Linked DNA regions of Macaca fascicularis. The protein of the gene in region 3 purifies or fractionates together with the protein of the main gene of each other region. This does not show direct contact. Links are inferred from orthologs where the notes say so. Each region holds a gene or a part of one and is shown on either strand. Other genes may lie near its edges. The genes, in order: BCL7B, BICRA and SMARCD1.

Region 1 (4,003 bases), on a different chromosome or scaffold from region 3:
GTGATGGCGGGCGACTATAGTCTCAGCTACTCGGGAGGCTGAGACGCAGAATTGCTTGAACCCGGGAGGTAGAGGTTGTAGTGAGTCGAGATCACACCACTACACTCCAGCCTGGGCAACAGAGTGAGACTCCATCTCAGAAAAAAAAAAAAAAGACAGGCGCGGTGGCTCACGCCTGTAATCTCAGCACTTTGGGAGGCCAAGGCGGGCAGATCACGAGGTCAGGAGTTCGAGACCAGCCTGACCAACATGGTAAAACCCCGTCTCTACTAAAAATACAAAAATTAGCTGGGCGTGGTGGTGCGTGCCTGTAATCCCAGCTACTCTGGAGGCTGAGGCAGGAGAATCACTTGAACCCAGGAGGCGGAGGTTGCAGTGAGCTGAGATCATGCCACTGCACTCCAGCCTGAGCCACAGAGCGAGACTCCGTCTCAATAAATAAACTGGAAGTTGTTTGAAACCAAAACCACGTATGTCTTCAGTTTTTGGTACAGAGTCCTGCACAAAATAGGCATCTTTTATTTATTTTAGAGATGGGGTCTCCATATGTTGCCCAGGCTGGAGTGCAGTGGCTATTCACAGGTGCGATCATATCACAGCTGACTGCAGCCTCAAATTCCTGGGCTCAAGTGATCCTCCTGCTTCAGCCTCCCGAATACTTGAGACTACTAGATACTCGAGAAAAGGCAAGAATGTGGTCTGAATGTTGGGAAAGCAGTTCATCTGGTGAAGAGAGGAGAGGATTCCAGGTGAGGAACAGGTATGTGCAAAGGCCAGAAGGCATCCTGAAGAAACGCGAAGAAAGGCGTGGTTGGAGCACAGCGGCAGAGCCAGAGGGCAAAGGTGCTGGACAGGAGAGGCGGGAGGACAGAGACAGCGCAGGAGCGCGGTTCCACAGGGTCAGGTCCCTAACACGCTGGCCAGAGCAGGGAGCCGACCTCCAAACTCCCAGGGAAAAGAATCAGTTGCCCACCGGCAGCACCTCACACCTCGCCCTGACTACAGCACGTGCGCCCGGCCCGCCTCGCACCCCGGCCCGGGTGGGGGCTCAGGGGACTCCCGGGGCGCTCAGGAGGGACGCCCCGGGCGGGGCGCGCAGGCGCGCTGAGGCCGCGAGCCCCAAGGGGCGGGCGGGTGCGCGCGCTTCCTCGCGCACGCGCGCACAGAGGGGGCGACGGCCGCGGTGACGCTGCGGCGGCGGCGGCGGCGGGCGGGCGGCGGCGCGAGGCGCGCGATACCCGGTGTCTTGGGAGCAGTGCCCTGGCCCCCGCCGCTCCCGCCGCCGCCATGTCGGGCCGGTCGGTCCGGGCGGAGACCCGCAGCCGGGCCAAAGACGACATCAAGAAGGTGATGGCGGCCATCGAGAAAGTGCGGAAATGGTGAGGGGCCGGAGGTTAGGGGGCTGGCGGGGGTCGCGGGTCCAGGCCCTGAGGAGCGCGGGACTGGCGAGTCGGGTGGGAGCCGACCGGCCGGCGCTGGGGGAGGGGGACGCGGGAGAAGGCGGGAGGAGGGCGCCGCTGGCGTCGGCGTGAGGTCAGAGGGCGCGCCGGCCGCGGCCAATCAGCGGGCCGCCCAGTTCGCGGGCCCGCCCACCTGCTGCGGCTGCGGTCGCGCGCTGCCCGGGAGGGGATGCCGGCTTCCGGCCCGTGCTGGGGCCGCCTGGCCTCGGTGTCGCCGCGCCCGGCCCAGCCGGGGGCCCGCCCTCCACTCTTCCTGGGTTTTGGCCCCGCCTGCGTTTCCAAGCTGGCCCTTGATAATAGCGAGTATCCCTGGAGTGATTTCAACCCGCCAGGCTGAGAGCTCTGCGTATTCAGGCATTGAAGTTGGGTGAGTTTATGGGTTTGTCTGTTAAGGGAGGAAGCCTGGTGTCATCCAAAGGAAAACCCCTCACTTTCCCCCAGAACCCGGCCCCTGCGCCGCGAGCTTGGTAGGCATTTTCTCTTGCTGCCCTGACGGCTGTCAGGAGAGTCCTTTGCAAACTATGTACCAGCCTCCCTTTAATTTCTCTGGTTCTGCTCTTGCTCATTACCCAGCCCGTTCATCGTCTGCACTGAGTGATTTTATTTTTCTCACTTCCAAGTAGCAGTGGTCTTTTTAAAGTGCACGTCCTTACTTGGGAGGCTGTGGTGGGAGGATTGCTGGGACCCAGGAGTTGGAGGCTGCAGTGAGCTATGATCGTGCCACGGCACTCCAGCCTGGGCTACGGCGAGAGACCCCATGTCTAAAATGTGCATGGAAGACGCCGGTTGAGCACGTATTTTGTATCCAGATCTCCGATACACACTGTGTCGGTGTGTATCAGAGTCATCACGTTAAACTTTCATAGCCAACTTTGTCAAGTTTTTTGTATAGCCAATTACTACCCATTATTAAAAACCCAAGTATGGCTAGGTGAGGTGGCTCAGGCATGTAATCCCAGTACTTCGGGAGGCTGAGGCGGGCGGATCGCTTGAGGCCAGGAGTTTGAGACCAGCCTGGGCAACATAGTGAGACCCGGTCTCTACAAAAACTAAAAGTTCAAGTAGATATTACCTCCCGCCAGGAAGCCTTCCTTAACGTCTCCCACCCCTCACCCTTTACTCCCTTTAAGATCATTGGTACATTGACCTTTATTTGTGTGTTTATCTGTCCATTTCCACACAAGAGGGAAGTTCCTTCTCTTTCTATGTCTGAGGGCTTCATATATAGTTGGGTTTCCGTATAAATAGTTTAATTTATTCATGGTTTTCCTCGTCCACCTTTAATCCTCCAAGATTTTGGTGAAACCTGAGAACAGGCACACCCTTCTCTTCTCCCCATTTTTGACCCCCCGCCCCTAGCAGGCTAGGCTCAAGGGCCGTCCTCTGTCACCTGGAACTCTGTACCAGCCTCTTCTCTCTCTGCTGCTCTTGCTCATTCCCCAATCTGTTCATTGTCACCGAGTGATTTTATTTTTCTCTCTTCCGAGTTACAGAGTGATCTTAAAGTGCACAGCTTTATTTGGGAGGCTGTGGTGGGAGGATCGCTGGAGCCCAGGAGTTGAGGCCGCAGTGAACTATGGTCATACCATGGCACTCCATCCTGGGCAACAGAGCGAGACCCCATCTGTAAAAAATATATAAAATGTGCATCTTATGCTAGCACCCCTAGTAATGCTTCAGTGGTTCCATTCTTGCTTTTAGGATAAATACCGAAGAAGGCCTTCCTTCCTGCCTCACTTGGCTGGCTCTTTCCCAGGATGCCCACCGTCTTTCCAGTGAAGTCACTCTGCTCTTCCTGCCGCCTGGCATTCTTCTTCCTCTCTTTTCTCCTCCCTCTTGCTGAGTTAACTCCTAGCGCAGCTCAAAAGTTGCTTCCTTAGGTTCACCACTTGAGATTCCCAATCTAGATCAAGTCCCCTTCACAGAACTTTCCACGATTGTATTAGATGGACTCATAAGACATTTCTTATATTTGACTTCTGTTTTGTTTTTCTTTTTAGACAGAGTCTTGCTGTGTCACCCAGGTTGGAGTGCAGTGGTGCAATCTTGGCTCACTGCAACCTCTGCTTCCCAGGTTCAAGCAATTCTGCCTCAGCCTTCTGAGTAGCTGATTGCAAGTGTACACCACCACACCCAGCTAATTTTTGTATTTTTGTAGAGACTGGGTTTCACCATGTTGGCCAGGCTGGTCTTGAACTCCTGACTTCAAGTGGTCCTCCCACCTCGACCTCCCAAAGTGCTGGGATTACAGATGTGAGCCACTGCATCTGGTCTCCTGTATTTGGCTAATTAACCTACAAAAATGGCAATTTGATATGGTTAAACCTAATAATTAAGTGACTAATCCTGAATTGAGCTATTCATGTCTGTTTCCAGATATAAGACAGGGTCTGTGAGGGCAGGGACCATGGATCTTGTTCTCTGCATCGCCAGGTCCTAGCACAGCCTGTTGTAGACTAATTGGTTGAATAAATGAGAAAATGGAGTGGTCTGTTCAGGAATTCTAGTTATTTTCTAAGACTTTAATTCATTCCTTCTGTTAC
Region 2 (3,561 bases), on a different chromosome or scaffold from region 3:
TCTTTGCATTTCTGTTTGTGTTAACACAAAGGGAAAATGTGCGCACGGGCACACACACATACACACACACACACACAGAGGCTGCCAAATCCATCTGGGTCCAGAGATCAGAGTTCCGAATGCAGGGGTTGGAGTTCAGACAGTAAGAGAACCACTACTTTTACTAACAGTAAGAATCATCCAGATTGGGAACTGCTATTCCGTGCATTCCTGCATATACACAGGATAGTGGTTCTCAATCTGGATGATTCTGTCCCCGCCAGGGGACACTTGGCCAATCACCCAGTCACACACCCACCCATGCCATCCATCCGTTCGTCCATTCAGCCATCCATCTGTCCATCCACTTGCCCATTCAACAAACATTCATCGACCACCTTCTGTCATGCTGGCACTGTTGCAGACACAGCTACTGTGGAGAGTCCTACCTTGTGCCTCCCCGCCTCTCTGTGTGACTAAGAGTCAGCTCGGGTGCACACCTGACTGTGCGCACTAAGCATCCTTCTCAAAGGTCATCCACGTGGCCAGGCACAGTGGCTTACCCCCGTAATCCTGGCCCTGTGAGAGGCCAAGGTGGGAAGATTACTGAGCCTAGGAGTTCGAAACCAGCCTAGGCAGCATAGTGAGACCCCATATCTCCCCCACAAAATAAAATACAAAAAAAAAAAAAAAATTAGCTGTGCGTGGTGGCACGCACCTGTAGTCCCAGCTACTTCAGGGTCTGAGGCGGGAGAATCACTTAAGCATGGGAGGCAGAGGTTGTAGGAGCCAATATTGCACCACCGTACTCCAGCCTGGGCGACAGAGCCAGACAGACCCTGCTTCCAAAAAAATAAGTTCAGCTACAGCATAATTACTGCAACTGCTAACAGTAAGTGTCTGTTCACTAAGCACTGGCTCTGTGCAGTGCCATCATGTCAGGTCACTGGCCTTATTCCCATTTTAGATGTAAAAACCATGCCTCAGAGAGCTCCACTAAGCAGAGCTGGATTCACACCCAGGTCTGGCTTTCTCAAGACTTCAGGTGTCTCCAGCAGTAAGCCCCCAGGGTTTAAATCCAGGCCCTACCATTTGCGAGCTGGGCAACCTTGGGTAAGCTAATTAATCTCCCTTTGCCTCTGTTTCCTCACCTGCAAAATGAGATGCTGCCACCTGCCTGGTGGAGGTTGTGAGGTTTAAATGAGAGACTGCTAGGCCGGGTGTGGTGGCTCACACCGGTCATCCCAGCACTTTGGGAGGCTGAGGCGGGTGGATCACCTGAGGTCAGGAGTTTGAGACCAGCCTGGCCAACATGGCGAAACCCCATCTCTCTACTAAAAATACAAAAATTAGCCAGACATGGTGGCGGGAGCCGGTAATCCTAGCAATTTGGGAGGCTGAGGCAGGTGGTTCACCTGAGATCAGGAGTTTGAGACCAGCTTGGCCAACATGGTGATACCCCATCTCTACTAAAAATATGAAAATTAGCCAAACGTGGTGGGGGGCACCTGTAATCCCAGCTACTCAGGAGGCTGAGGCAGGAGAATCACTTGAACCCAGGAGGTGGAAGTTGCAGCGAGCTGAGATCTTGCCACTGCACTCCAGCCTAGGCGACAGAGTGAGAGTCTGTCTCAAAAAATATATAATAATAATAAAAGCAAACATTTATCAAGTGCTTACTTTGTGCTAACTCATTTACTCCACCTAAGTGCTCCCTCAGCCTACCTAAGCATCTGCTGATGGAATGAACTACTGGTTGCTAAAGGTTAAATGGTAAGTGGGAGAGCCTGCAAGTGAAATAATGGCTGTTCAAGGTCAAAGCCCATGCTGACTTCTGCCATCCTGCCCTTGTCACTGTCACACTCTCCTCTTCCTACCTATCCACTGGTCCTTTTTGAATGAGTACCACATTCACTGCTCTAGAATAAGAGGGTAGCCCTCCCTAACCTGCTATGTGCTTATGACTCATAAGCATACTGCTTATTACTCTTAAGACAAAAGGCTAATTTTCCTAATATGTAAAGAGTTTCTACAAATCTACAACAAAATGACAGTAACCCAGATTTTACAATGGCAAAGGGTATGAGCAGTTTCACAGAACAGAAAGTACATATGGCTCTTACTCTTATGAAAAGCTGCCTGACCTCATTCACAATAAAAGAAATGCAAATGAAAACAAAACAAGATACTATTTTTCACCTATCTAGATCGGCCAAGTTCAACATACTGGTGAGGTTGCGGGCGGGGTGGGGAAGGCATAATCACATATTGCTGATAAAGGTTAAACTCATTTGTACTCCACAGGGGGCAATTTGACAATATCTGTCAGAGATAAAAATGCATATGCCTTTAGAGCCAGCAAATTCCTTGTGAAGAACTTACCCTACAAAATGACATACATACAAAGGCATTCTTTGCAGCCTTGTTCATAATAGCTACAGATCAGAAGTGATCTAAAAACCCAACAATTTAGACTGGCTAAATAAATATCAGTACATGCACACAGTGGAATACTACGCAGTCACATAAAAGAATGAAGAATGGGAACGGGCACAGTGGCCAACACTTGTAATTCCAGCACTTTGGGAGGCCAAGGCGGGCAGATCACTTGAGGTCCGGAGTTCAAGATCAGCCTGGGCAACATGGTGAAACCTTGTCTCTACTAAAAATACAAAACTTAGCCCAGCATGGTGGCAGGCACCTATAATCCCAGCTACTCAGGAGGCTGAGGCAGGAGAATCATTTGAACATGGGAGGCGGAGGTTGCAGTGAGCCGAGATCGTGCCACTGCACTCCAGCCTGGGTGATAGAGTAAGACTCCATCTCTTTTTTTTTTTTTTAAAGAGAAAATGAAGAATGGTCTCCAAGATCAATTTTTAAATAATAAAAAATGCAATACTGCAGGCAGAGGATGCTACCCTTTTTGTAAAAATTGAAGGAAAAGAATCCATATTTGATTGTTTCCCTATCCAGATAACAAATGCAAGAAACCACCCTGGGAAGATGACAGGAGGCTACGGTTCAGGAGAGGGGGGCTCTCCACTATGCATCTTTTTGTACCTTCTTAAATGTGAATTATCTGAATGTATTACTAATTCGGATGTGAAAATTATAATTTTAGGAAATAAGAGATTTCCTTCCGTGTGTGTCTTGCATTCCTGCAGCGCATGGGCTCCCCCAGGGCCGGCCCTGGTCTCAGGCATCCATGATCATTGGGAAACACTTTGTGGGAGTGAAGGAGAGCTCTGTGTTCCAAGTCAGCAGGACAGAGACGCAGGCAGGGCGGAGAGCGAGGAGCGGGAGAGCGGGCAGGAGGGGCGAGGCTGGGTCTGTGCTGCGGACACACGCTGTTGGGGTCTCTCTACCTGGGGGGCCGGAGCCGGGGAAGCCTGGCCGTCGGGGGCCTGAGGGCCAAGGCCAGCTCCTTTGGCGACGGGGGTGGCCGGGGCTGGGTCTTGGGCGGGAGGCGGGGCGCTGACTATGACCGAGGCAGGCACGGAGAGGTGGGGACCCTCTGCGGAGAGGGGCTGCTGGCTCCTCTCCTGCAATGGGCAGCCCGCACAGGGTCAGAAGGCCGCCCCC
Region 3 (4,295 bases):
ACACCACCAGCAGATGGACCGGACCTATATAGAGAAGGAGGCTCTGACACTGAGCCCTGGTTCTCCTGCAAAAGTGCATTCCAATTAGCTTCCTGCGAGCAGCTAAAAATAGAGCAAGAGAATGTAAGGGAATGAGAGAAAGGTGAGCTTCCCCGAGGAGCTTCTGGGTTGGGAAGTTTGGGGGCTATCACCTGTCAGCTGATGCTCCCCAGGAAGCAACAAAGAGCCTGTCAAGAGAAATCTATCCTACTTAAACTATGGGGTGCCTCCAATGAAAGTTGAGAAGATGGAGATACCACAAGAACTCAGAGAGGAAACACGGCCTCAAATGAAGTGCAAACTCGACTAAAAACAAAACAAAACAAAAACTAAATAATCTACAGATACGGCTAAATCCAATGGCCAGCAGCACCAAGAGGAAGGTAAATCACAAATCAGATCCCAGGACAATAAGGTTCTCCACATGATACCAGTGAAGGCCAAAGGTGTGGGGGCAAACACAAAGGACCATTGTCTTTCAGTGCAGGGAACAGTGTCCCTCTCCCTACTGCTCCCAAAAGGAGCTGTGAGCACCAGTTAGGCTTCCTGCTGACCAGACAACACTGTTCATTCCCAGCAGCTCCCACCCTAGATGCCAACCACTGTGGACCTTGAACTCACATCCTCCAGGAGCCGTCCTTCTACCCGAAGCTCCCAGGAAGCCACCGTCCCTTCCCCATCCTCGGCATCTGACTTAGCCGGATTGAAAGTGTTAGAAATGAAAATTCGCAGCTTCCGTTTTTGCTGAGGAAGGCAGAAACAGGATTGATCGTGGGGCTTCAGTGGTCTAATGTTGAAGACAAGAGTCTCCCCAAACCCCAAAATTATTCCTAACAGACTGGCTTACTGTCTACCCAGTCCCTTGGGTGGGTGGATGAAGATTCCATTTAGAAGAGGAGTACTGGCCATCAGCCTAAGTACAAGTGCATACAGTGGGATGCCAGGTGGACAAAGTCACGCAAGGTGCCAGGTTCCCAAGGTAGCAGAGCAGTTACAGCAAAAACATGGACAAGGGTATATTTGTAGTGCAAGAGACATCAAGAGCCCCTCCCCCTTTGCCATTCTGTTCTTATCCTCCTAATGTAATTCTCAGTTTGTAGGCGGAAGGGAAAGATACAATTTAAATGCCAAGGAGAGTTGTGCTGTGCCTTTGATTTCTCATCCTAAGCCTGCTGAAGGTTCCTGGGTCCTCTCCTTTGGCTCTCTGCTTAGTAACTTCCTGTGTTACCTTGATGGGACGTTTCAAGGCCTCTTGGATATCTAGTCGTTTCCTCATGATAGTCTGGTCCAGTTTCCTTTCAAAAGCCAAGAGATCCATATAGGCCTGGGATTCTGGTACCAGTTCACGAATCTTAGGAACAGAAAAATTAATTGAAATCTAGGATGATTCATCTCTATACTCAAACCTACCACACTTTCCAGAAAACAGATAGCCTGGACTCACCCTTTGAGGTAGAATTTTGTCAGCCATCTTCTTTTTCTTTGCACTGTTGGGAATAAACACTATTATCAGGTTGGGACAGAACTAGTCAGAACGTGAAAATAAGCTGTCAGCATGTCCATTTATAGTAATGTGAAGGGATTGCAAAGCTGCTCTCAAAGAACTACCACCACCACCACCACCACCACCACCACCACCACCACCAAGCATTCTCAATCATCCTGTAGCACCATCTGCTGACACAGCACCACCACTTCTTGGTTCAGGTAATCCCACCACCTGTGTACTCCCAGGCTCCCTCCCTCCCTCCCTCTGCCCCAGGATCATCTTACTTGTGGTTTCGATTTTGGACAGCCTGCTGCTGGACCTGCTGGATCTGCTGAGGGGCAGGTCTCTTGCGGGACTGATCCATCCCTGACTGGGCCAGGCCAGGTCGGACTGAAGGGTTCCCCCCATAGCCAGGGGGTCCCATGGAAGGTCCCTGAGGTGTCATTCGGCTGCCTGGCAACATACCTGGTCTCTACAGAGGGGAGAGGACCCAGAGATGTCATGGTTTCACCTGCTAAACCCCACCAAGAAAGAAAAGCAGGGAACGCCTGAGTTCTTTGAATGAAGTAAGGTTTACGGATGGAATGGAGGACAATGAGACGAGAACCCTCTGCTCCAGCAGTGACTCCACAGAAAAATAAGAGTCCAAAAGCTAAGCGAGAGCCAGATTATACTCAAATTATCGGTCTATTTTGGATCGGACACATCGGACATCGCCAGTTCCACATTTACTCTGCTAGCTACTATCTCTTTAGAAGCTGACCTCAATTTGTCAGCTACACGTTCTGTGTTCCTTTGATCAATGGAGCTGCTCAAGCCCCTCTGCACTCCGGCCCTCGTATAGGTATCCCTGGACCCACTTCACCCACCCTGGTTCTCTACCGACTCCCCACGGAAACAATGCCCCTAGGAGCTGGTGTGGACACCAACTGCCTCCCCCTCTCTTCCTGCGCACTGCCTCCCCCAGCCCCCACCCAGAGCCCGAACCCCTCCCAAGGGAGTCCCTCCTACTTCTCCCCCCACCCCTGTCACTCCCACGTCCCCGCTCGGCCCCGCCCCCGGCCCGCGCGTCCCTCCTCCTGCCCCACTCACCGGATAGGCCGCTCCGGGCATCGGGGAGCGGTACAGCCCTTGACCCGGAGCCGGGCCCATTCGCACGGGAGGCCCCGGAGTTCCGCCCGGGCCCAGGGCAGCAGCCGCGCCCGCCCCTCCCGAGGCTCCGGCGCCGCCGCTCGGAGCCACAGACTGGAAACCCGCCCGGGCCGCCATCTTCCCGGAGCCGCCGATGCAGCTGCACAAAGAACCGGAACCGGAACTCCCCCCGCCCCCTGAGCGCCCCCCGAGCGCCCGCCTGTTCCCCCGGCCGGCTGGCCGGCACGGGAGGCTCAGGGCAGCGAGACTGTCGCCTAGAGAGGAGCGAGTAGCGGAAAAGGCGTGCTGGCCACGCCCTCCCGCCTTCACGGTCCTGGAGGGAAAACCATAGAGAAGAACTCTGGGATAGAGAGGCCCCGTGAGTGGGCGCCCCCAGGCCGACGGGAGGTAGACAAGGACCTGGAAAGGGGGACGGACCACAGCCTCAGCCCCAGTCTCAACCCCGACTCCAGCCCGCTGATGATGAGGTGCTTGGAGTAATAGCTTCATCTTGGCGCATGGCATTAACTTCCCAAAACGCTTTGATTGCTTTTCGTTTCATTTTCTTACTGCTATAACTATCAGGGGCTGAGGAGGGAAACACAGTTTATTCCATTTTCCAAATAGGAAAGCTGAACTCACAGGTGAACGACTTGGCAAAGGTCAACCAGCAAGTTAGTCATAAAGCCGAAGCCAAGATTCCAGGTCTTCTTGCTCATAGCCCAGGACTCATTCCACAGATAAAGTGCCTCAATAACTACCTCACGTGGGAACTTCAACCTAACTTTGTCTCCGACCTAACCTGCTTCCGGATTATTATTATTATTATTTTTTCGACATGAGGTCTGTCTTTGTCACAGTGGCACCATCTCAGCTCACTGCAACCTCCGCCTCCCAAGCTCAAGTGATCCTCCCACCTCAGCCTCCCGAGTAGCTGGGATCACAGGCATGCACCACCATGCCAGGCTGTTTTGTATTTTTGGTAGAGACAGGGTTTCACCATGTTGCCCATGTTGGTTTCAAACTCCTAAGCTCAAGTGGTCTGCGCGCCTCAGCCTCCCAAAATGCTGGGATTACAGGTGTGAGCCATTGTGCCTGGCCTCAGATTTTTTTTTAATATTAAAAAATAGGGATGGGGGTTTCATTATGTTGCGTAGGCTGGTCTCGAACTCCTGGCCTCAAGTGATCCGCCCGTCTCAGCCTCCCAAAGTGTTGGGATTACAGGCGTGAGCCACCGTGCCAGCCTGCTTCCAGATTTTATAATAAGTTCCAGTTTATCTTGAATTTTGACTCTGCTCTCTCTCTAAAGCATTGTTCGTGATGGGGATTCTGTTTTGGACCTTTGTTGCCTTTGACTCCTCCCTCTTTCCCTGCCCAGTGGTTCAAACTATTCCTGATACGATGGTCAGCCGTCCCATCCCAGGAGGACCACAGTCTCCCTATTCAAACCTTCTCCTTACTCATCCCCTAATTGTTTGGCCCCAAACCAAGCTCAGCTCTAGGCACTTAGTGAGAATACCTAAATATGTTTTCAAATAAGTGAACAACACTGAAGAGGAGATGGTTGAAACCCAGTTTATTAGACCAGAGGCATGCGTCACCCAAAGCCCTGCCTGCTGTTCCCCTATCCAATGCA

What was found.
Region 1: the proteins of SMARCD1 (region 3) and BCL7B purify together in Homo sapiens (affinity purification with mass spectrometry; 4 studies listed by BioGRID and IntAct, counting the BioPlex papers as one, with this or other methods). This does not show direct contact. The link is inferred for Macaca fascicularis from reciprocal best matches to the Homo sapiens genes SMARCD1 and BCL7B.
Region 2: the proteins of SMARCD1 (region 3) and BICRA purify together in Homo sapiens (affinity purification with mass spectrometry; 5 studies listed by BioGRID and IntAct, counting the BioPlex papers as one, with this or other methods). This does not show direct contact. The link is inferred for Macaca fascicularis from reciprocal best matches to the Homo sapiens genes SMARCD1 and BICRA.

Annotation. Positions count from the first base shown.
Region 1 is NC_088377.1:52,421,912-52,425,914, reverse strand, and holds the start of BCL7B (B-cell CLL/lymphoma 7 protein family member B), read left to right. Parts: upstream 1-1,162; 5' UTR 1,163-1,287; coding exon 1,288-1,379; intron 1,380-1,634; exon of another isoform or gene 1,635-1,827; intron 1,828-4,003. UniProt on the Homo sapiens protein: Positive regulator of apoptosis. Plays a role in the Wnt signaling pathway, negatively regulating the expression of Wnt signaling components CTNNB1 and HMGA1.
Region 2 is NC_088393.1:55,707,761-55,711,321, reverse strand, and holds part of BICRA (BRD4-interacting chromatin-remodeling complex-associated protein), read right to left. Parts: intron 3,522-3,561; coding exon 3,345-3,521; intron 1-3,344. UniProt on the Homo sapiens protein: Component of SWI/SNF chromatin remodeling subcomplex GBAF that carries out key enzymatic activities, changing chromatin structure by altering DNA-histone contacts within a nucleosome in an ATP-dependent manner.
Region 3 is NC_088385.1:56,914,750-56,919,044, reverse strand, and holds the start of SMARCD1 (SWI/SNF-related matrix-associated actin-dependent regulator of chromatin subfamily D member 1), read right to left. Parts: upstream 2,826-4,295; 5' UTR 2,798-2,825; coding exon 2,621-2,797; intron 2,001-2,620; coding exon 1,813-2,000; intron 1,527-1,812; coding exon 1,484-1,526; intron 1,391-1,483; coding exon 1,268-1,390; intron 784-1,267; coding exon 661-783; intron 1-660. UniProt on the Homo sapiens protein: Involved in transcriptional activation and repression of select genes by chromatin remodeling (alteration of DNA-nucleosome topology).